2 linked regions of the Lytechinus pictus genome follow. The protein of the gene in region 1 interacts with the protein of each later gene in a pairwise test. Links are inferred from orthologs where the notes say so. Each region holds a gene or a part of one and is shown on either strand. Other genes may lie near its edges.

Region 1 (12,547 bases):
CAGTACAGGAAATTATTGATAACTAGTTCTTTCAATTAGCCAGTATATATTCTTTTTCCAGTGGGGGTGGGTTATGAATATATAACTTACTTGATGGAATCATGATCAAACCAATAAGCCTGAGTGATTTTTAGAAAAATAAATCTATTTGATTTGCTTAGGACTGCAACAAGGTCATTTCCATTAAACACAACAAAGTCGGGACTGCACAGTTAATGGTTTTACTCTTGTATCTAGCAAGAAGATAAATGCATATTCCCCTCCGTCTTCAGGAAAATACAAGGTAATGTGTCATCTCCCAATATGCGGAAATGCCAGGCGTCTACTTCTTAATTCAGGAGGTGAATTTGTAAGGTCAACATTATTTGACATGTTAGTGCCGTTAAGATTTAAAACCAGTAGGCCTATGCAAAGGTTTTTTTTCCTCTTTCATTTCACATATTTTTTATTGATTCGACCATTATTTTAAGAACATTTTAAGTTAAGTTTGCTCAGGAGCACTGGATCGAGAAGCATGCGCCTGAATGTAGGGATATTTCTAAGTAATGAATAAAAATCAATCAACATAATAAAACATTTCAGAGTTAATGGTTGAGAAGATATAATCATGAAAATCAACTCAAAAGCACATACAGCATTCACAGGCTACACCACTTCACCATAGAACGGGACCAATAGCTTTAGCTAGATAATTTCATAATCAATGAATTATTGGAATTTTTTTATTTAGGAATTTTAGTAAAGACATCATGACAGATAAGAATAGAGTATGTTTAATAGTGCGTACACACTTTTAGTGTAATAATTTATTGCAAGGGATGGGGGGGGGGGGGGTTCTTATGTGTGCACTGGTGTTTGAAAAGTGATAATTTTTTTTTTTTTTACTCTATCACTATAGTATTGTTCAAATTACCAGGGAAAGTGATAAGAAAATTACATCAGATTTCGGTCTGAAATAATATTGCTATACTAAATTTCGTCGGTCTTCCGAACCGTGGTATCACACATACGACTGTGCAAACCCATTTCAGAGAAAATCGACTTCAAAGTTTAGTATAATTTTCACACTTGGTTCCCAAGCCTTACAACACATTCGTTGCGAGAAAAATACATGGTTGGAAAGACCAAGATAATTGCTTGACAATGGTATCCTTATTTTTACACAAAAGCAAGGATCAGAGAAAATATCGCAAAAGAGCTACATGCTTGTAATTTTGGTTTGAGTGGTTTAGATTTCCCCCCGTGCAAAAACGCCATAGGGAATACAACAACCCTGACGCGATTTCAATGCGCACGGTCAGTCAAAATGTTGTATCGCTTTTCACGTGCAAAGTCAATATAGTGCAGATGGCCAATACGACAGTTTGGCTGACTGCGCGCATTGAAATCGCGGTCAGTCAAAACGTCGTATCGCTCTGTTACAGTACATGTTTCCAATGGGATTTTCGCATTTTATTTGTAAAATGTATGGCATCGCCGTGAAATTCCTCTCATATCTCAGAAAATAAAATAAATTGCTGCCTATAAATTTAGTTATGAATAGATTAGGACTTGTACTTTAATTTTCTGCAATAATCTCAAAATCGATTTTTTTTTTGGGACCAAAATTGACTGATACGACGGTTCGGATGACCGCCGACGATTTGAAGGCCTATAATTTTGCGATAAGAAAAAAATATTAAGTTAAAAGGAATTACAATTTTTATCGGGCAATTGCTTGATTTATTTATGTTTGTTTTATCATATTATTATTCTTATTTGTATTTAATCTTATTCATTGAATTTGATAGCAATTCATTATATGAATCCAATTTTTCTCCAAAAGATTTTTTTTGTACCTCACTGATCATGGGAATAGAAAAGGGTCATACGTTATGAAACGGTCAATAGGGAATTGTTCTCAAGGCATTGAATGCCAATTTGTAACCCATTTTTTTATATGACCGTTAATCAAATTTTACACCCTGCATACCAATTTTATAGTGAGAGAGAGGAAGAGAAAACAAACTTGATCTGGGGAATGAAATTTATTCGTAATCAGGATGGAGGAGAGAAACCTGTTCCCTGGCCATTGTGAGTCATTAGGTGGTTTCAGACCGACTCAAAGTTTGTTAATTTTGGCAGTGTGAAAGCAAATGACGCGTAATCTCCCCAGAAGAAAATACTAAATAGTAGGTACATGCCAAAATTACGAGAACTTTCGCAGGGATTTTTCCAAGGTCCCGGGTATTTAGGCAGTGCGAAAGCTAATTACCAGAACCTTCAACCCAGTGTTTAGTTGTGCCCGGGCGCCGTGGGTGGCTGCTGAGCTGGTGATTTTTAATCTTGCCCCTTGCTTGCTTATCAGACCATACTGCACATGCTTATAACTTCAGAAACTTATCCCAAAAGGTACGTTTCGGGGCGATGTGAATGTGGTAAATTAACAGGTATTTTTTAGCCTCAAGAATTTAACGGGGATTCTTGTGATCGAGGCAGTTTGAAACCACCTATTGTTACTGCATGAATAAAGTCAGGGTAGGAAATGATTGTGATTGATTGCTTTATGAGGATAAACTTGTCAAAAATATCCCAAAGGATCGTCGATATTCAAGATGAAGCGTATTTTACTTGGGAAAAGTGGGTGTGTCTGTTAAAAGCAGTGCAAGTTAGTTTAAATAAGTCTTTTTGTAGTTATAAGGATGATATTGATTCAGCATTTTATTGTGATTGTGTTGATTTGCAATTTACAGGAGTATGCCTCAAAGACAGGCAGAGAGAGAGAGAGAGAGAGAGAGAGAGGGGGGGGGGGGGGGCCTGAGGGGAGGGAAAGAAAGAATTGGGCTGAATTTATTTGGCCAGACATAAAGTAAATAAGAAGAGAATGGTGAATACATGCTGATATTATATTTCCAATCAGATATTATAAGATCATTTTATTATCACACCCTCAGACAAAACTTACCTTAATAGTCGTATTTTATTATTTTTTTAAATGAAGAAATTATATGTGTAAGATACCCCCCAAATGTAAAATAAAAATGAAATAAATGTGAAGATATATTGGAGTACTGTTAGTACTCTTAACAAGAGAAATGGAGGGAAAAAATAGTGTGAGGGAAAACGAGAAGGTTTGGTGAGAAGGAAAGAGATCAAAGGAGGGGAGAAAATGTGAAGGAGATGGAAAGAGGGGGGGAAGAGAAAAAAAATAGGAAGTATGAGAGAGATTTTTTTAATATATAAGAGAGACATGATAGATAAATAGAGAGATGTAGATTGAGGTAGGATGCCCCGAGAGAGGCAGAGAAGGTAGAACAGTAATGCAATTAGCCAGAGTGTGCCCGTTCAGTGTACATGCATTATCATTCATAATGTAAAAGACTTTCCTGCGTGTGGCCCCTGTGTAGATTGGGTGTTCAATTATTCAGATGAAAGGTATCGTGCTTGCATCCATCCAGGCTTCGATGATGACGGGAACAAGAAGAATGACTTAAAAGGAGATAGGATGGAATATATGCAATCTTCCAGTACACTGGGGAATGCTGTTTCATTTTCATAACAACATCGACATGCTTGATAGTATGTAACGCCCTCATATAAGCAACAATTGTCTTTGAAAGCTCTGTGTGTGGTGTTGCTATTGTTGGCTACATTTGCACTAAAATGTTTTCTGTAAATCTTTTTTTGTTGCTTTTAAACAAAAATAGGATTTGAAATGAAAATAATCCCATAAATCTTTTGCTTCAAATTCAAATACCAATCCATGTTTGAGGTATGAAATTATAGAAATATATATTTACCATACAATAGGATGATTAGGAAGCGATTTGACAGTTTGCTTTGCAAATTAGGTCATCAATTCCGCCCTCTCCCCAGATCAAAATCAACCAGATTAGAGAAATTTGTGAGAATCTATCAACATTTGATTTTGACAATCTCTATGGTCAGTTGGATAAAAATTCACCAATAGATCCTTTTTTAACTCCTTATTTACAGATAATCCCTTTATGAAGCCTACAGCATTCAGTATTCAATGATAATTATACTTACATATTGCGCTATATACCTGATATATCAGAAGTCTCTAAGCACTCTACAGTAATGTAGCATAATTACCCTGGCTTTAGCAGAGCAGCTGTTACGCGTGCTGTGTTTCAAGGAATAAATTCTTACCAGGTACCCATTCACTTCACCTAGGTTGAGTGCAGCACAATGTGGATAAATTTCTTGCTGAAGGAAAACACACCGTGGCTTGGAATTGAACCCACGTCCCTCAGATTGAAACACGAGAGCCATAACTACAAGACCATGACGCCCTCAAGTAGTCTATATGTTAAGGCTGTAGTTGCATGTGTGTGAAAGGTAGCCTAGTGAAAAGCATATCTGATGGATGCCACTCGACATAGGCCCTCTTGAATATATTTGTTTTTTTAAAATAAATATGGCAACTCTTTTAATGATTTCAATAATCATAAACACATTTCCCCTTTACCATCAACCCGAGTACACCATAGTGATATCCACAAAATAATTGCACAAAGAAATAGGAATTCTTTGGTATATGGAAAAGATGAACTTCCTTGAAATTCATTGTTGGTTTGGCGAAGTGCTAATCATGTAATTATAACAAAATATTTTTTGTCATGTTTCAAGTGTCCTTGTTCTTTGCTCCTGCTGAATAAAGATCTAATGACATTCCTTTTTTTTCTTTCCTCTCAACAGTCAAAGCCGCATACTTGGATGGACCCCCAGGTAAGCAATTCTTTCGTTGGGTTAAGTGTTATTTTTTTTAGGATACTCATTAATTTTTTACCTTTTTGAAAATATTTCAGCAGAAATAAGAAAGCCATGAAACAATATAATGGAAATGCAAGTAGTTCAAGATTGGAGAAAATCTCAGCACAGTAAATATAATCGAAATTTGAGATCAAATCAGGAAGCCATGGCATTAGAAAACATTTGCTTATTTTCAAAAGAATGCAGATCTGGGAATCATTCACGTCTTATGCTCACTCTCTATCTTATACAATATTATTGACTTTTCAAATATTTCAATTTTTTCTCCAACTGAACAATATTTGGTTTGATTCATCATGGAACATATAAAAATTATTGTTATGATTTATTATGATTCAGTGAAGAACTGATTTTACCATAAAATGTATGAAAATTGACGTATTTGAAGTTTCCTAGAAATTCCTAATTATAATGAACTAATAACAAAAATAGTGTGTTACATCATCAGCTCTCTCATTTGCGTAATGCTCAGGATGTGCACGTCACTATTTTGTGAAAATGGGATAAATTTTAAAATGCCATAGCTTTTTTATTTTTAATGTATATTATCTGATTGTTTTTTCTACATGTATATTTGTTCAAAATAAAAGTGTTGGGATTAGGCCTTAAAGTATCTATATTCACATCCTTTGGTTGTGTTTCTAACAGATTCATATGGATATAGCTATGATTGTCAGATTGAACCTAAATTGGGAAGCCTTCAGTGGTTAATTTGGTTTGTTTATTCAGTTAAAATGACCTGAATACTTGTGATAATTGACCTTCCTGCCAATAAGTCAATATTGACCATGGATCATGAAATCGAGTCTCCTGCAATGTCGTCCAGGATGTATTTTTGAGGATTATTTTTGGAATTCCCCTTAAACATCAATTATTTTTATGAAAAATTTGTGATGATGAATAACTGTATGATTGATTATGGTGACGATGATGATAGTGATGATGTGATTGATGTTGATGGTTATGGTAGTAATGATAATGAAGATGATGGGAATGACATTGATGTTTTTGGTGATAACGATGACAACGGCTGCGATGGTGATGACAGCGATGACGATGATGATGAAGACAATGATTATTGTGATTTTGATGATGGCGATGGCAGTGATTGTGATAACATTAGTGATAATGATAATGATGATGATGAAGGTGATGATACCACATGCACACATACTACACATGCGGAAATTCATATGCATTTATATTTTTAGTATTAGTAATAAATGCAGTATTATTGGAAATATAAGTGCATATGAAATTGCATGATAAACAATACACAATGAAATAGGTCATATGCTAAAATGTAGGCTTGAATGTATGATTTATATTTGTCTTGCTACCTGTAAAGAAGGAAATGAGAGGAAACAGGATAAAGCAGACAAGAATCTTTATTTTGTTCTTCAAACCTTATAACATTTCTTGTATATCATCCAAACAGATTTAGACTTGAATTTAAAAAAAAGAGGTAAACAGTTTATACATTTGTAATGAGACCTCAAAATTTTAGCAGTAGTTTGTGATGGTTTATATAATGATCGTTTTGTGGGAATGAAGCCGTAGCTCGGCAGCCTCTTCTTCTCTTAAATTGTTTACACATTGTCCATTACAAGGATTACAGCATACAAGGGGAAGAAAAATAAATATGTTCTCAAGATAGCGGGCTCACGATGTACCCTTGATAACGTTACAATCGGCACCTTATCTTCCAAGGAGCGAGACAAGAGAAAGAGAGGAAGGCGTCTACTTTGCTCTAAATTACCCTTTTTACACAGGATTTTCTTAACCCCGGACTATCGCTAACCCCGTACTATCCTTAACCCCGTACTATTTTTTTTTCCTTTTCACACATGCCAAATTGTTATCGCTAACCCCGGATAAGGAATGCTTGCTTTTCACACACGAAACTCGCTAACCCCGGACTAGTGGTTTTTGTCGATCATTCGTAGTACAAGTACTTCAGTAGGTGGTTTCAGACCGCCTCGAAGTTCGCCAGTTCCAGGTATTCTCTGATCGGGAAATTTACCCCGATCAGAAAATACCAGGTATTTTGGCGGTCTGAAAGCAAACTACGCGTAATATCCCCGAAAGAAAATACCCGATAAATAGTAGGTACTTGGCGAAATTACGAGAACTTTCGCGGGGATTTTTCCAAGGTCGTGGGTATTTTGGCGGTCTGAAAGCAAATTACGGGAACTTTTAGCCCAGCGTGTCGTTGGGTGCGGCGCCGTGCATGGGTTGCTGCTGGGCTAGTGATTTTGAATTTCGCGCCTTGCTGCTTATCAGACCATACTGCGCATGCTCGTAACTTCAGGAACTTATCCCGAAGGGTATGTTTCAGGGCGGTGTGAATGCAGGAATAATTAATGGGTATTTTTCAGCCTAAAAAAGTTCTCGTAATTTAACGGGGATTCTTGTGATCGAGGCGGTTTGAAACCACCTACTCGTACCTTTTTACACACGCTAAAATTTCCTTAACCCCGTACTATATAGTACGGGGTTAAGCTTAGCCCACTTTCGTTTTACACTAGCGATCTTAACCCCGTACTATCGCTCTTAGCACCGCAATTGCTGGGATAACCCTGCTTTTTTGCAGGGCCAAATAATCCCGTACTAAAGGTGGGGTTAGCCCACTTTGCAAAAATGCTGTGTAAAAAGAAAGTGGGCTAAGCTTAACCCCGTACTATAGGTGGGGCTAAATTGCCATTTAGCCCCACCTATAGTACGGGGTTAAGGAAATTTTAGCCTGTGTAAAAAGGGTATATGATTAGTTTTCAAATTTACCCTTAAATTGTAGTTGGTAGTTTTTTCTCAGAAGTGGGGGTAATAGATAGTTTTTGCTCAGCAATAATGAGGATTGGAGGGCCAAGAGTAAAAATAGTCTCATGATAGAAGATGCTATGGCTCATTCCTAATCTTAATCTTTGACGAAACTGCAAGAACTTGGAATTGTAGTACTGTGCTAGATGATAGATGACGTACCACATCATTATGGTATCCATCGCTCTTCAATTAAACCAAAGACTCCTCCCCGCAATAAAACAAGAAAAATGAAAATATAAAGATACATTTTACATTTTAAATAATGAAGAAATAAATACAAAAATATGAGTGAAAATATTCATTCTTCTCAGGAGTGAATTTATTAAAAAAAATATCTAAAGTAAATGTGAATTTAGAATATATGTATTTTCACTCAGTTTGGAGTGATATAAGAAAGAAACATTCCCAAGATCACTCAAAAATTAGTACAAAATACACAATTTTACTCTGTTCATTTGAATGGAGTTATTTTATAAAGTCAATCCTCAGAGATGTATTTTTTTCTTATTTTTAGGAAGATCTTAAATATCATTTGTCATGTGACTTTATGTCATTCTTCATTCTAAAACTTTATTTGCATAGTTGAGTGAAAACTGCTGAATACTTTGGTTGTTACAAAATGACTTAGTAACCACCATGATTCTCTGTTCTGTCCTTAAGGCCTGTTCTCAATGTAATTACGATATATTATTCATAAATGGAAATGGTTTTTTAACATAGTTATTTCAAGTAGAGGATATGATTTGACAGGTTATCAAGATGTTGCTTATTGGAGCATTAATTCTGGGCTTGAGATTTACTTTCCATTATATCATGATTATCCTATTGAGATGTTTTTATGTACTCCTTAAAGGCGACCGCACACCTTATGACTGGTCAGTGACCCGATTTCAGAATAAAATGTAATAGAATTTGATGCTAATATTGAGACTTGGAATATCTTATTGTGTAATGTTCTAAATCATCGTACGAATACCTATGATCAAATTCGTGACTATGCTATCATCCTTCTTAGAATAAAAGCAAATTTAATATCTAGTCGTAATGACGTCATAGCAGTCGTACGATTGGCTACGATTTGAAACTAATTTGGACTTTACACCAAAATAAGGACTTGCAATCTTTCAAAATTGTTATAATATTATTATTTCAATTAATTTTAACCTCAAATAAAATGATATGTTCCATTCACATCTTCAGAAAATGAGCAAAATGCGATTTGTTCCAAAATCGGGTCGCAGACCAGTCGTAAGGTGTGCGGTCGCCTTAAGAAATACAGCCTCATTCATACACTTATCTTGTTAGCATTCATTGCAAAATTCTACTCTCTTTAAATTGCAATCTTGCAAAGGGATAGTATATATGTGAAGCAATTAGAGTTCATCTCACTTCTTTTTTAAATGAGACTTTAGAGGTGTCTTTTTTCATGAATATGATAAAGAAAAAACTTTATTATTTTACATTTTTAGGAGAAGCCCCAAAATAGACAATATGTAGTATAAATACCTGTTATAATCACCTGAGACTTGAACAAATATATGTAAAGAATACACAAACAAAGCTGTTGCCATAGGAACCCATTAACAAATGCTAACAAATGCTAACAGATCAAATAAAAATGTAGGTTATTGGATTACTTTAGCTTTATGAATACAAGATAGGGTTTTTTGTTTTTTTAATCTGAACTTCTCTCCAGGGGCTTTAAAAAAACCTCTTTTAATAGACTTAGCCACTGAGTAATAGGCCTACTTTGCTCCAAATCCAAAAAATAATGCATAAAGCTTAAATAAATAAATAAAGCTACCTGTGAAAGAAAAATGAGGGGGGATTCACACATAATCACTTACTTTCTGAACAATAAAAAAATATAAATTGATTTTTTTGGAAATTAAGAATGAAGATAATCTATTGAGATTATTTTTACAATATACATGTATCTGTGTTGTTATCAAGAATATATGAGGGACACTTTCTAGTGAAGACGTTGTATGAGAAGTGTAGGCCTACCTTACACTTTTCTAGTAGGTCCATGCACTTACAAAGATAAGATCAAAATCCAGAATTTTGAGTACATGTTTTGGTGAAATATAATGATTTATCATATCATATTCAACCTTAGACTAGCAGCACCTTATCAACTGCAATGGATTGAATAAAAATGAAGAAGATACCTGCATAATGTTAAAGAATGTGTATACATTAGCAAGGCAAATGGTAAATAAATGAACATCAAATGAGAAAAGACAAGAGATACAAGGTTGAAACAGGGGAAAGGCGAGTGTCCGTCATTGCATTACTTTGGCAATGAGTTGTGTTTATGTAGGCACTTATGACGTCACTACCATGCGCTCCATTCTTATATCAGAGAGAGTTCAATCCAATATTAGATGACGGATGATGTATAAACACGGGATCGCATATCAATAATTGCATTGGGGGGTAAAATGTGTGACTCGACATTCTCTCTCAAAAAAATTGTGTTTTCTGCAAATACCATATCCTATTTTGCCCTGTACGTACTCGGGTGTTCTTTTTCCGTGGGTTGTTGGTTTGAATGAGGATCATGTACGTACCAGGTGTTCATATCCCACGTAAAGCATTACAAATATTGTTGTAATCTCTATGTAAATCTATTTTGTATGTAGATTACATTGCAAGTCACGCAAAGCTCATGAAATTTTATTGCAATATCAGTATTATAACATCTACTGTTTGTGATGAAATTCAACATGCGCACATCAAGAACTTAATTTATTTTCAATGTGGAATGGTCTATTAGTGTATTGATTAATTGATTTGATAATATTTGAGAGCTGGTGGGAATAAGTAATGATTGGAGTATGTACAGTACAATTTGAGCTAAACTTAAATTATAATGTAATTTTACTTAGAATTCTGTTGGGAGTATATGATTTTGTCGTAGTTTAAGTCTTCAGTAATTGATATGCATATAAGTTGTTAACCTTGCATAGTGAGTTACTGACTTTTTTAATACAATTGTAAGAAATTTCAACTTTTGCACTCTAACAAAGTATACCTACATGTATAGATACAATTGAATAGAAGTTTATCAGGTCTGTTTTTTAATCATTCATTCATTCACGTTTATTTAAAAATGGGGTAGTCCTTTCAGTGCCCAAAGGCCTGCTTTACAAAAGAGCCCTGTAGACATTGAATTATTTACAAAATAAATGAAATACAATTAATAGCCTGTTCTATGTCTCATTATGAAGTTATTTAATCACTATGGTATTGAGAATGATCGTCCCAATATCATCAATAAAGCAGACTTGTACACATTTGAATTAAATCAAAGAATGTGAAAATTATGAATGTTTTCAAGTTAACCTAACTGTCCAAAATGGATGAATAATTACTGCAAAGTTGCAAAGCCCATATCTGCTTCTTTCTGTGCATCAGTACACATCAATAAATCACATGTATGTAGAAAGTATGTTTCAGGAACTTTTATTAATATTTGAAAGATTAAAAATCATTTTCCAACAAAACATGTAAGCGAGTAATGAACATCACGTGAGGGAAATTCAAAATTTTATTACAGTGGTAACTGAAATAAAAAAGTCAACTGGTTTATTTTTTATACAAAAATAGCCTTAACGTTGCTCTCTTATGTCATCCTTTAATACCAAATCTAAAATGAAATTATACGGAGCAGATATTATTATTACTGGTTGATGGCTCTCTAAAAGTGCATACCCACACCCTGATTCCTCTCCTTGTCTCCTCCTTACCAAATTAGCGCTTTCGTCTTCTTTTTTTTTATTGGAAAACGGAACCCTTTGCTGTCCGTGTCAGACAGCAAATTCAAATATTGCAAGTGTGACACAAATTGAGATGGAAAAGAGCGGGGCCGAGGAACATTCATGTTTTGCCAGCGAGGTGGTAACCTTGTAGAATGCGCCGAGGCTGACCGAATTTTCTGAGAGGTTTTCCTTCAATTAAGGCAGGTGAATACACAGCATGTGCTTTGGCCGGTTCTTGCGCCACCAGATAGAGTGGATTGGACATTATCAGGATGCAATAAGCTACCATGGGCAGGCATAGGCGTAGATAGTTGAGATCGAGTGGAAAAAAAATGGATGATATAGACCAGAGAGAGATCAAATCAAGAGTGTAGAATGGTACACTAATATGAAATGAGATGAGGTGTAAGGAGAGAGAAAGGGGGGTGCTGGGAGGGCAGTGGCGGATCAAGGGGGTGGCACTCCCACACCCGTGCCCCCCCCCCATGAGAGCCATAAAGATATTTCCTTAGTGTTAAATATCGTGTATACGCAAGTGAAGACCTTTTTTTTGGGGGGGGGGGGGCTTGCCAACAAATTTCTGGAATAAAATGCCCCCTCTCTTCTGGAAAATCTTGGATTTGCTTCGAGGGGGGAAAGATGTTGACTGGCAGGTTTTTAATACAGAGTGAGAGATAAAGGGAGGAGAGCAAATAGTGGCCAAATTAGGTCAATTATAATTACGGAAAATACAATGTATTATTTTGTTGTATTTGCAGCATTCTGTATGCATTGAAATTTTAATTGGATTTTGGTTGATCGATGTCTTTTAATTTAATTAGTCCTACTGCCAAGATCATTGAAAAAGAAGAAATACCATTGCATCTCCATGCTTCGTAGTGAGTGCTAAGTTTTTTTTCTATCTGATATAATCCTGCATCAATTTTTAGTACATTTTGTTTATTCCATACTGGGTTGTTTGCAGTAAATGATAATTTTTGTAATTATTTATTTGAAATATTGGTCGTACAAACGATGCAGTTTTGTGATGAATTAATTAATTTTGAATCAATTTTTTTTTTTTTTTTGGGGGGGGGGGCATTGCCGAGTAGGTTTATGTCTAAATGAAAAAGAAGAAAAAACAGTTTGATGTTCCCAAAATGTATAGAGGGCAGAAGTGAAATTTCAATTAAATACAATTTTGTGAA
Region 2 (13,510 bases), on another chromosome or scaffold:
ACTTGATAGATAGGGCCCCCAACCCTCCTGCTTGTAATGGGAGTCACATCTTCATTAGATAGTCACTTCATAGATAGGGGCCCAACCCTCCTGCTTGTAATAAGAGTCACATCTTCATTAGATAGTCACTTGATAGGTAGGGCCCCAACCCTCCTGCTTGTAATAAGAGTCACATCTTCATTAGATAGTCACTTGATAGATAGGGCCCCCAACCCTCCTGCTTGTAATGGGAGTCACATCTTCATTAGATAGTCACTTGATAGATAGTGCCCGTAACCCTCCTGCTTGTGATGGGAGTCACATCTTCATTAGATAGTCACTTGATAGATAAGGCCCCAACCCTCCTGCTTGTGATGGGAGTCACATCTTCATTAGATAGTCACTTGATAGATAGTGCCCATAACCCTCCTGCTTGTGATGGGAGTCACATCTTCATTAGATAGTCACTTGATAGATAGGGCCCCCAACCCTCCTGCTTGTAATGGGAGTCACATCTTCATTAGTAGGGTGTCTGGAGAAAAAAATTATTTTTCTTATTTCAAGAAAATATCACATTTTCTTTGTGAATTTGAAGAGAAATGACCTTCAGACTGACAGAAATGTAACATTAAAAAAAAAATCAAATTATTGGCTGCAAAAAAGAAGAATGAAATTAGGTCAATTTTCAGCATTTCTCTGCCATAGACTGTGTAGTTAAGAAATGGACACACACAAATCCAAATTTTTAGCTTCCGAGAGCTGTTATAAATTTGTTATTAATGCCAAAAACTTTTCCATAAAGAGTCAAATATGATTTTTCATGCTCTTTCTGATGGTATGATTTTTATAAAGATTTGGAAACCAGATCACAATGAAAAATTGCGACAAAGTGAAAAAAATTGTGCAAAACAGAAATGTTATTTTCCCATAGAAAACGCATGGGGAAATGGCAATCTCAACACACACACAAATAAGGGTTTGCAATTTATCTCTAAATCCTTATTTCAAATAATCCTATAAACTTGTCCTTACTGTCAAAAGAAGCCCCTGAACTTTCTCTTTCCATACATGCCATATACAAGTTAATAATCAATTCAGATCACATTTTTCTAGCAGCCTGAATTTCCCCCAAAAATGTGCCATATTTTCCCTAAAATCAGCCTGTTTTATGCTGACACTTTTCAGTGTGGCTTCAGACACCCTATCATTAGATAGTCACTTGATAGATAGGGCCCCCAACCCTCCTGCTTGTGAAAGGAGTCACATCTCCATGGATAGTCACTTGATAGATAGGGCCCCCATCCCTCCTGCTTGTGATGGGAGTCACATCTTCATGGATAGTCACTTGATAGATAGGGGCCCCAACCCTCCTGCTTGTGATGGGAGTCACATCTTCATTAGATATTCACTTGATAGGTAGGGTCCCAACCCTCCTGCTTGTAATAAGAGTCACATCTTCGTTAGAAGGTCACTTGATAGGTAGGGTCCCAACCCTCCTGCTTGTAATAAGAGTCACATCTTCACTAGATAGCCACTTGATAGATAGGGTCCCAACCCTCCTGCTTGTAATAAGAGTCACATCTTCATTAGATAGTCACTTGATAGATAGTGCCCGTAACCCTCCTGCCTGTGATGGGAGTCACATCTTCATTAGATAGTCACTTGATAGAAAGGGTCCCCAACCCTCCTGCTTGTAATAAGAGTCACATCTTCATTAGATAGTCACTTGATAGATAGTGCCCGTAACCCTCCTGCCTGTGATGGGAGTCACATCTTCATTAGATAGTCACTTGATAGAAAGGCACTTTTTCTTCTCATTCCTCTTTAAAAATGTTAATAGGTAGTTGTTACCAGCTTTATATAATACTCCTTTTCTCAGAAGATACATGTACTTGTTACACTTCTGAATCAGTAAAGAAAAACTGAAAAAATTGATCGATAAAATAGAATAAAATAAATAAATGATTAAATAAATTAATAAATCAAATAAAAACAAATACATGAATCAATGATTAAATAAAATACATTAATATATAGGTAAATCCATTAATTTTTTAATATATGAATGAACAAATAGGATTTAAATGATGATACAAATACCGGTATATTTATTAATGAATAATTTCAGCAGCTTATCTCCAAGGCTGTGCACATAAGGGATGTTTCAATGTATTCATTGTAAAATCTGAATATATTGCCGGTCAGTATTCTTTCTCCATATACCTGTATCGTGCTGCATAAAGGTTAGAGGAAATAAATGTTTACCCCAGGAAGATTGAGCTAATGTTTTAAAGTCTAGATCATCCATTCTCTCATGATTACCTCATCATTAACATGTATGATTAACTCATAAACCTCGTACACTCATAGGCGCATGATATTGGGCTCATTGCAAATTGGTAGCCTACCATAAAAGTGTTTGATACAAAAGTGAAAAGCAATCTTCGACATGTCCTAAATTTCCATAGGGGAAAGGTTGATGTGATTACATGCAGCTATTTAGTGTAGTAATGTTTATTCTATTATCCAATATTTTGACATACACCTATACTTGTACTTATTTCAATTATTTGTGACATGAATTTGCTTTGTTTCGATGTGCAATAAATTTTCAAAGATGGATGAGGCAAAGTACAAGTGCAAAATTAGCCAGTTAATGTCACAGTGAAATGGCAAAATATGAAAATGAGTTACTGAACTGGAAAATGAATAATTATTTGAAAATAATTTGTTGTTACAAAGTATTGCCATCATTTGTCTACAAATGAGTATGAAGTGAATAAGAGTGCAGTCTGGCATAGAGGCTAAAGGTAGATTGTTTGTGCAGGTCTTTATTACTCCATCAAACCCATCCAATGTGCAGTGCTCCGCTATCAAATGTCACGAGTCTGTATCAATAAAATCCATGATTCTATATTACACCAAATATTGCTCAATGAATCGTTCACATATGTGCGCCAATATTGTCTGATGGAGCGTTCACTTATGTGTTTTGATATTGCTCTTATACTAGCGTTCACATGTGTGTGCACAGATACTTCTCTGTTGTATACATGTGTGCTGGTATTTGTAATGACAGCATTCTACTAGCGTATCATACAATGTTTGTAAACCTTACATGTACATGCTGTAGCGTATGAGGCGCCGAATGTACCAATATTATATAGAACAATTATTTGTTATATAATCATTATTTATTAAATAATAACTATTATTTATATATAATTTACATTTTATTTGTAAATAACTACTATTATATAAAATATCATTTCTAATTATTTATATATAATTCCAAGTAATACTTCATTATTTGTAAATAATAATAGTTCGACATTCCATTATTTATAAATAATGATTATTTGTTTTTCATTATTTATAAATAATGATTATTTGTTTTTCATTATTTATAAATAATGATTATTTGTTTTTCATTATTTATAAATAATGATTATTTGTTTTTCATTATTTATAAATAATGATTATTTGTTTTTCATTATTTATAAAATAATGATTATTTGTTTTTCATTATTTACAAATAATGATTATTTGTTTTTCATTATTTATAAATAATGATTATTTGTTTTTCATTATTTATAAATAATTTGTTGAGTTTTCCATTATTTATAAATAATGATTATTTGTTAAATAATGAAAACGTCTACTTCATTATTTATAAATAATTTTTTCGAGTGCACCATTATTCTCATTATTTATAAATAATCATTATTTAATGTTCGAGTTTTCCATTATTTATAAATAATCATTATTTATATACAAATAACCATTATTTATTAAATAATGCCATTATTTATTAAATAATGCCATTATTTATTAAATAATGGAAAACTCGCTATAACATGCAAATGTGGGACCGCCCATGATATGAATATTCATGATGCGATTTCCTTTTTCGTGATTTTTCTTCACAAATTTTTGTCCATTTCCTCTTCATAATGACATTTCTTGAAGCAATTTTCTAGGGATATGGTCTGATTGTAATATTCTTCATTTTCTATATAACTTCGTCTTCGTAGAAATATCAAAAAGTGTAATTTTATACGATTTTTCCTACAGTTCACAATCCCCATAGGCGCGCGTGTACGGTAGGGACAACCGGTGAATCGACGGAGTGCTCTTCATCGAAATACTACGTTGGTTGGTCCCCGGAAGTGGCGGGCGGAATTTAGCCCGAATCCTCGATGGAAGTCGATCAAGTGCATATGAGCTGAGAGAGTGAAATATCAGTGTACTTGTACAGGCCCTTCTACTTTTTATAAATATTTCTTGTTGCTTTTTTTGTTAAGTTAATTTTTCCTGGTGTAGAAATAAGTTTCAGTTCTAATAATGCACTTCAAATACATTTTGGAGTGTCTGTTTGAGGCGTTTGGGGCGATTTCACCCTGGCCCCAAAATGCTCGCAACGACAATACGGGGGCATGATGACCCCTAATTTTTTAAAAACTTATTTTTCTATTGAAAATTATCACAAAATTCACCAAAAGTGTGCACGAAAGCCTTCGTATTTCACTTTTAAAACTCCAAAAAGTGCCCAAATGACAAGCTTGGTCGCTTCGCTGTGTCGCTTTCAACTTGAGAACGTTTACGCGTCTGCTTCCCCCCCCCCCCCCCCCCCTCCTCCGAAAGAAATTCTGTGAACAGCCATGCTCTAAAGAGCCTGGCACATTGATTTATGTATACTTCATTTTCATTATTTTTATCTCATTATCATCATGGCCTTACGCAGAATTTTTTCCGGGGGGGGGTGGGGGGAGCAGGACGCGCGTAAACTTTCTCATAAAAATCTTGAGAAAGCGAAGCGACCAAGCTTGTCATTTGAGCTTGGTCGCGTCGCTGTCTCGCTTTCAAGATTTTTTGAGAAACTTTACGCGCGTCCTAGCTGCCCCCCCCCCCCCCCCCCCGGTAAAAATTCTGTGTAAGGCCATGATGATAATGTGATAAAAATAATGAAAATGAAAAGTACATATAAATCAATGTGCCATATGCTCTTTTGAGCATGGCTGTTCACAGAATTTCTTTCGGGGGGTGGGGGCAGACGCGTGTAAACGTTCTCAAGTTGAAAGCGAGACAGCGAAGCGACAAAGCTTGTCATTTGGGCTTGGTCCCGTGGCTGTCTCGCTTTCAAGATTTTTTTGAGAAAGTTTACGCGCGTCATGCTCCGGCCCCGGCCCCCCTGGAAAAAATTCTGCGTAAGGCCATGTTGATAATGAGATAAAAATAATGAAAATGAAAGTATACATAAATCAATGTGCCAGGCTCTTTAGAGCATGGCCGTATACAGAATTTCTTTCGGAGGAGGGGGGGGGGGGGGAGCAGACGCGTAAACGTTCTCAAGTTGAAAGCGACACAGCGAAGCGACCAAGCTTGTCATTTGGGCACTTTTCGGAGTTTTAAAAGTGAAATACGAAGGCTTTCGTGCACACTTTTGGTGAATTTTGTGATAATTTTCAATAGAAAAATAAGTTTTTAAAAATTAAGGGGTCATCATGCCCCCGTATTGTCGTTGCGAGCATTTTGGGGCCAGGGTGAAATCGCCCCAAACGCCTCAAACAGACACTCCAAAATGTATTTGAAGTGCATTATTAGAACTGAAACTTATTTCTACACCAGGAAAAATTAACTTAACAAAAAAAGCAACAAGAAATATTTATAAAAAGTAGAAGGGCCTGTACAAGTACACTGATATTTCACTCTCTCAGCTCATATGCACTTGATCGACTTCCATCGAGGATTCGGGCTAAATTCCGCCCGCCACTTCCGGGGACCAACCAACGTAGTATTTCGATGAAGAGCACTCCGTCGATTCACCGGTTGTCCCTACCGTACACGCGCGCCTATGGGGATTGTGAACTGTAGGAAAAATCGTATAAAATTACACTTTTTGATATTTCTACGAAGACGAAGTTATATAGAAAATGAAGAATATTACAATCAGACCATATCCCTAGAAAATTGCTTCAAGAAATGTCATTATGAAGAGGAAATGGACAAAAATTTGTGAAGAAAAATCACGAAAAAGGAAATCGCATCATGAATATTCATATCATGGGCGGTCCCACATTTGCATGTTATAGCGAGTTTTCCATTATTTAATAAATAATGGCATTATTTAATAAATAATGGCATTATTTAATAAATAATGGTTATTTGTATATAAATAATGATTATTTATAAATAATGGAAAACTCGAACATTAAATAATGATTATTTATAAATAATGAGAATAATGGTGCACTCGAAAAAATTATTTATAAATAATGAAGTAGACGTTTTCATTATTTAACAAATAATCATTATTTATAAATAATGGAAAACTCAACAAATTATTTATAAATAATGAAAAACAAATAATCATTATTTATAAATAATGAAAAACAAATAATCATTATTTGTAAATAATGAAAAACAAATAATCATTATTTATAAATAATGAAAAACAAATAATCATTATTTATAAATAATGAAAAACAAATAATCATTATTTATAAATAATGAAAAACAAATAATCATTATTTATAAATAATGAAAAACAAATAATCATTATTTACAAATAATGAAAAACAAATAATCATTATTTATAAATAATGGAATGTCGAACTATTATTATTTACAAATAATGAAGTATTACTTGGAATTATATATAAATAATTAGAAATGATATTTTATATAATAGTAGTTATTTACAAATAAAATGTAAATTATATATAAATAATAGTTATTATTTAATAAATAATGATTATATAACAAATAATTGTTCTATATAATATTGGTACATTCGGCGCCTCATAGTAGCATTCATACAGTAAAGGTACCTGATAAACATTCCTTGAAATAATTTGTTCTATTGCATTCGGTACATTGTTGGATGAACTGATTACATATTACCAGCAAACCATAGGCCCTCATAATCAAGGAAGGAAACTTCACATTAGTACAGAAATAAATTACAAGTATGAACAGTACATCCATAGGACCTGTAGTTTTCTACATTCGGTTGCCAAAACAAAACAGAAAGTACATATACATGTAGTCTCTGATTAAGAGATGGACTTTCTGAACAGGTTCTGACTCAACCTTTGATATATACAGTATATAATATGTGCAGGCCCTATGGTTAAATTTTTTTTTAAGTACACAAGTGTTCCCTTCACAGATGATTTATCTAGTGTAATTGAAACTTTTTCCAATTTTACTCTGTGTGAATTGGTATTATGATATCTACTGCTGATGTGAAACTAGTATGTACAAATTAAGAGATGGTGTATTTTTTGTAAAACATATATGTAATGATATAGCCTTTGAAACAAGAAATCAGTATTAATTGAAAGCAAGTGTTTTGTTTGTAGTCTTTTTTTTTTGGGGGGGGTGGATTGATAGTTGTATTTGTAATAAAAAGAAATTCTTACAAATTTTCACAATTTGTGGATGAGCTGTAAAAGAAGATTAGCAGTAGGTTGCATCTTCCCCTCCGCCTTTCCCTTTTCCCTCTCTTTAAAGGAGATAATTTGTCATTGTTCTGGTGTTGTTTAGTCGTACATGTAATCAACATTACCACCACCACCAATATGAAACTGATCATTATCATAATCACCACCACTACCATTACCACAATGCTCACCATCACTACGACCATCATCACTTTTTATCATCATTGAAATCATCATCATCATTTATCAAATCACCTACACCACCATAATTTTTCCTCCTCATCACTCCACCCCCTTCCTCTATTTCTTAGTGCCCTCATCCCAGAAAAAAACTTCACAACTTAGAGGCATATTTAATTATTTTTTTCCTTATTTTATTTTCCATTTGCAGAAGTCAAAGATGAATTGGAGGAGTTGATGAGTGACATCAAGAAAACAGCAAACAAAGTCAGAGCAAAATTAAAGAGTAAGTAAACATCACTAACCTTTTCATGAACTCTCATGTTCTAACATCGGTCATCCCTTTCATCGTAACGTATTTCAAATGAAGAAACCATTTACTGTCTCTTTGTGTGTAATGCAAAAACAAGGAGATTGTTTTTACAATTTCAATAGTTACGTGTGTAACTTACCATGAACTGGAATTTGAAAGACATTCAATAGTACTGACAATGAAATCAAATGTTATTTAATACAAAAAGAGCTTTTATTTTTAGTAGTGGGAGAGGTGGCACTTAACTGCTCTGTCAGCTAGAATGAAAGTTACTCCATTCACTGTATCGATATTATATTATAAATTACAGACACGGGCAACATTTTTTAAAGCGAAATTGGTGTAGAAATATAAAATATATACTCGAGTCTTGAACTTACATTCAGGTCCCGTGCAATCCACTCACGTGAACAACTAATGGGATTTCCATTCCTATGAATATGTATGAAATCCATATTTATGTTTACTTTTTCTGATGAAAGCTACTTCCTGCATACATTATTAGAGTGATGCATGGAATGTTACTTTTTTCATGTGAAATTTGAATTACAATTTTAGGATATTTACTTTCACAGGGTGGTTGCTATTGGTCATTATGTGTTAGGGTTATCTGTCCTTCCCTTTTCCATTCTCTTGCTGACCAAACAATTGTTTTACATGTAAGTATAGGAGGGATGAAGTATGAAGATCTGATTAGTTAGGGGTATCAATATTAAAGGTCACTATACATGTATTTGGCAATATGTGTGTACAATGTAGAGTGAGGATTATTAGATTTTGGCATCACTAGTTCAGAAGACAAAGGTCACAGCACCACCTCCTCGAAAGAATATGTGCTGTGACAGATTGAAAAAAATTGGGGTCCATCACTTCTGTTTTTGTTGTTAATGTTTTATCTTTATTAGGCATATAATAGCCCCTACATCTTTTTTTTTCATGCATGCAGCAGGGAATACCTGCTACAGCTCCTCACATATATTTGTAAGAGACATACAGTACATGTATGCATCCAGATACATAGAGATTAAGGTTCAGTCAGTTGTAAGTGCCCTCTGCTCACAATATTCCATTTTTGGTCAGGGGTTAGGGGGTCCAATGTTCTGATAAATGGTGCAATTGAGAATTAAAAAAATCATCACAAATAAGCATCTGAAAATACACTGTTTGGTAGTTTTTCATGCATTGTTTTATATAGGAAACGTATTTCATCATATAATTATTGTCAGGTTCTTCTGGTCAAGTGCATAAACTTTTAAACTTTTTTGTTATTTCATTCTAATATGCTTTAATCTTTTACAAAACAATTGTCCACTATTGATGCATATCACTACCTGACAAGGTCTAGTTTTTAATCCGACAATAAGAATGAAACCCAAGAGAGTTTTCTAAACCTAAGATGTCCCTATCATTGGTGATGATGATGACACTTCCTAAACCCATAAGACAGAGCATGGCAAGCTATTGCTTCATGTAAATTTATGTGTGACTTTGTGTGTCCTGAAAACTCTGTGAACTCGGTAGTGGCTGGGTAATACAAGTAGTGCCTTGGTAATAAAGCAGCATTTTGAATAGAGGAGGATGGGAAGGGCGGGAGGGTATAGGTGAAAAATGCTCTAAACTGCATAATACATGTACATAGGTCTTTTACACAAAGAGTTTGCGGATTGCGATAATGACCCCCCCCCCCCCCCAAGACTATTCAGATCTTACCATATTTTTGAGAGTTTGAAAAATTAATATCACAATTCATTTCAAGAGTTGATGAATTGCGAACAATAAGTCTTCAAAAAGCAATCATTTAATGGAAGAAATACAGATACACCTGTATGTAAAATGGTATGTGAATAATAATAAATAATTGTATTAAAAGTAAACTTACTTTTCCATGATGTGATTCCAAGCATGAAATGATAATTCTGCTTTTATATAGCACACATTTCATCTAAAATCTGTGATGATGTGTATCTAATTGCTGCTTTACAAATAATGTTTGTAACTTTTAATTAATACACACTTGCTTCATACATGTTTTGCAAAGACATAGATAGATTTGCAATTATGTAGTCCCTCATGATTGTAAAATCCAACAACTTTATTTAAAAAAAAGCATGATACATGTAGGTAGTCATTTTAATAGAACATAAAGTAATAAATGGCATATATTCTAAATAAATCAACTGTCAAATCAATTCAAATCTCTTTTATATTTCAAGTAACTAAGATTAATAATAATTTTTCTCACAAAGCGAAATACGTACTATGAAAAATAAACATCAACATGCTTTTTTTATAATGAACAGTTGGTCAAATGTGCAGGTTCATCTGTTTACGAGTATTCCAAACTAGTGCCAAACATACCTTGTTCTGTGGAGAATAAGGTTTTTATTGTCTCACCTGCATAGCAGAGTGAGACTATAGGCGCCGCTTTTCCGACGGCGGCGGCGACGGCGACGGCGTCAACACCAAATCTTAACCTGAGGTTAAGTTTTTGAAATGACAGCATAACTTAGAAAGTATATGGACCTAGTTCATGAAACTTGGCCATAAGGTTAATCAAGTATTACTGAACATCCTGCCTGAGTTTCATGTCACATGACCAAGGTCAAAGGTCATTTAGGGTCAATGAACTTAGACCATGTTGGGGGAATCAACATCAAAATCTTAACCTAAGGTTAAGTTTTTGAAATGTCATCATAACTTAGAAAATATATGGACCTAGTTCATGAAACTTATACATAAGGTTAATCAAGTATCACTGAACATCCTGCATGAGTTTCACATCACATGACCAAGGTCAAAGGTCATTTAGGGTCAATGAACTTTGGCCGAATTGGGGGTATCTGTTGAATTACCATCATAACTTTGAAAGTTTATGGATCTGATTCATGAAACTTGGACATAATAGTAATCAAGTATTACTGAACATCCTGTGCAAGTTTCAGGTCACATGATCAAGGTCAAAGGTCATTTAGGGTCAATGAACTTTGGCCAAATTGGGGTATTTGTTGAATTACAGCCATAAATTTGAAAGTGTGTTGGTCTAGTTCATAAAACTTGGACATAATAGTAATCAAGTATCACTGAACATCCTGTGCGAGTTTCAGGTCACATGATCAAGGTCAAAGGTCATGTAAGGTCAAAGAACGTTGGCCACGTTGGGGGTATTTGTTGAATTGCCATCATATCTCTATAAGTGTATTGGTCTAGTTCATAAAACGTGGAAATAAGAGTAACCAAGTATCACTGAACATCTTGTGCGAGTTATAGTAGTTTTCAAAATCAGCACTGCTGCTATATTGAATCGCGTGATGCAGGTGAGACGGCCAGAGGCATTCCACTTGTTTTAAAAAAGGGACCAAAAATAACAACAGGAATATTTATAAATAGTATAAATAGATGGTACAACTGTACATGTAATTGATCATAGGGATTTGCTTTCTCAATTTTAAATTTGGGATACTAAAAACAAAACTGGTTTGTAAGGCAAAATATTGCTTATATTCTAACAAAGAAGAGTTTTTACACATTGTCTTGTGCAGAATATTCTATATGTAACGGTGAAAATGTATATGGGCTAATGTATGTGCATAATATTTGCAAATAAGTTTAAAATAAGTTTCATAAGAGTCATGGTGTTCATTACAAAATGTAGTTTAGAAGGATCCTAAATTTGGAAAATAGCCCCTATACTGAAAATCTTTTAATTTTTTCACTGGCCCCCATAAGACCTTTATTGAAAAGATGGGGACATGTTTGCTTTACATATACCCATGCATGCATTGTGATGTAGTCTGGATGAGAGCTTCTTCATCTCAATGCCACGGCACTGACACCATCCCAGTTGCCTCCATCTCCATCATAATGTCAAAACCAGCGACCTATCCTCCACGAGTAGTCTCTACCATTTCATACTGTAATTCAAAACTCTCTCTTCATCATTTCCCAAACCCAATCAATACCGCTTCTCTCACATTTAAGGATCAATAATCGGGCTTGATTCGTGGCCAAAACGGGAGAAACTGCGTGTACTTGCATTGAGCATTGAGCATTTTTCAATCTTATTTAGACCCGGCGTCCTGTAGGATGGAGTGAGTTTTGAGATACAATTACATTGAGTGAGCCATGATTGAAATGAACACAAGGGGATGTGCATATGTAGACTATCCGTATACATTATAAATACAGCCTTTTGCAAATTTGATAAGGAATTTTATGCCAAGCCAATTTAGTTGGCATAGGCATGTCCTATGCATGACTCGTAGGCATCGTTATGAAGAATATTTGGGGCCTTGATATATCATCAATGCTAGAGGAAAAAATATATTGGAGTAATCTACTTTTCATGGATAATATTAAGATGGCATTTCAATCAGAAAGAATGAGTTTTATAAGAGAGTTTATTGAATTCCTGTGATGTAGTGTATATGGGAAGCAAAATACAAATCTGGTTCATGATTTTCACTCTGTATATTCTGTGAATTATAATAGTATTTTAGCTCTGAATAACCTAAATAACTTGCTGCTTTTTACATACATTCAACCTATACTAATTTTACAAGTACTTAGGCCTATAGGCTCTAGTATTGACAATGGCATTGGTAATTTACTGTGTGTAGCAATTCTTTTCATTCGTTTCAATTTATTTTGGAATTCTATAGCATTTTTTCAATGTTTTGTTATAAACTTATGTCTGCACATTGTTTAAAACAAGTTTTTAATCATTTTTTGTATTGAAAACGAATAATGATCAGTTGTTTAATTTTTCTGTTGAGATTATAATGCTTCAATACTCTAATGTATTTTTAGTCGAATAACTTCCATTCTTGACCTTGCTGCGCATTAATCTCTTTATCCTACTATATTTGTTACCCATGAACTTGGAAATTGTACACAATTTTACAGCTTTTCTTTGTGTCTGTATGTATGTATATATATATATATATGAGTTTTCTTAAATTCACTGAATATTAATATTGAAAATAATGATAATGAACATAACTTGTATAATGCTCTATTGTCAGACATGTTAGCATTCTGACAATTTCTGTTATGTTTTTCTTTTACTGCTTTACTTGTCAGTGTTATTTATTGAATTTCTTTAGAAACTCAAAGCCTTACTGTTATTGTAATTATATATTTTATTCGAGAATTCCATCATTTCTTCCACTCAAATGTCATGCTAGAGGGTCATGTGGTTTCTGACTGCTATGAATCAGACTTCCATAGTATCATTAAAATCAGCTTTAGAAAAATAATACATCACAATCTGTTTAAATATATCTATCCTTCACATTTTCTTTCATACACCAAAACCACTATAAACTTATTTCATCTGTCAAAAATGTTTATTTATCATTACGCTCACCTTATTTGATATTACAAGAAGCTTAAAATAAAGCAAGTTATTCTTGGATTTAATACTGAAAGCAAATATTGTGAAGCTTAGGCATTATTTCTCACTCCTCCTCCATGTACACCTTTTCTCAGTCTTCTATAACAACAATGTTTTCCATCTTCTCTCTCCCTTCCTCCCAGTTTGGCCTCCTCCCTACGTCCCTTTCTCAGGGTATCAGAATCATCTCTCAAGCGATGA

Evidence for each region.
Region 2: the proteins of protein unc-13 homolog B-like (region 1) and syntaxin-like interact in a two-hybrid assay, tested with the Caenorhabditis elegans proteins (2 studies listed by BioGRID). The link is inferred for Lytechinus pictus from reciprocal best matches to the Caenorhabditis elegans genes unc-13 and unc-64.

What each region holds. Positions count from the first base shown.
Region 1 is NC_087249.1:28,650,946-28,663,492, reverse strand, and holds the start of protein unc-13 homolog B-like, read left to right. Parts: upstream 1-5,672; coding exon 5,673-5,925; intron 5,926-12,547.
Region 2 is NC_087246.1:4,061,391-4,074,900, reverse strand, and holds the start of syntaxin-like, read left to right. Parts: upstream 1-7,811; 5' UTR 7,812-7,841; coding exon 7,842-7,890; intron 7,891-13,510. UniProt on the Caenorhabditis elegans protein: Plays a critical role in several secretory processes, including cuticle secretion and neurotransmitter release, and probably assists in neuronal membrane maturation or the final stages of neuronal differentiation.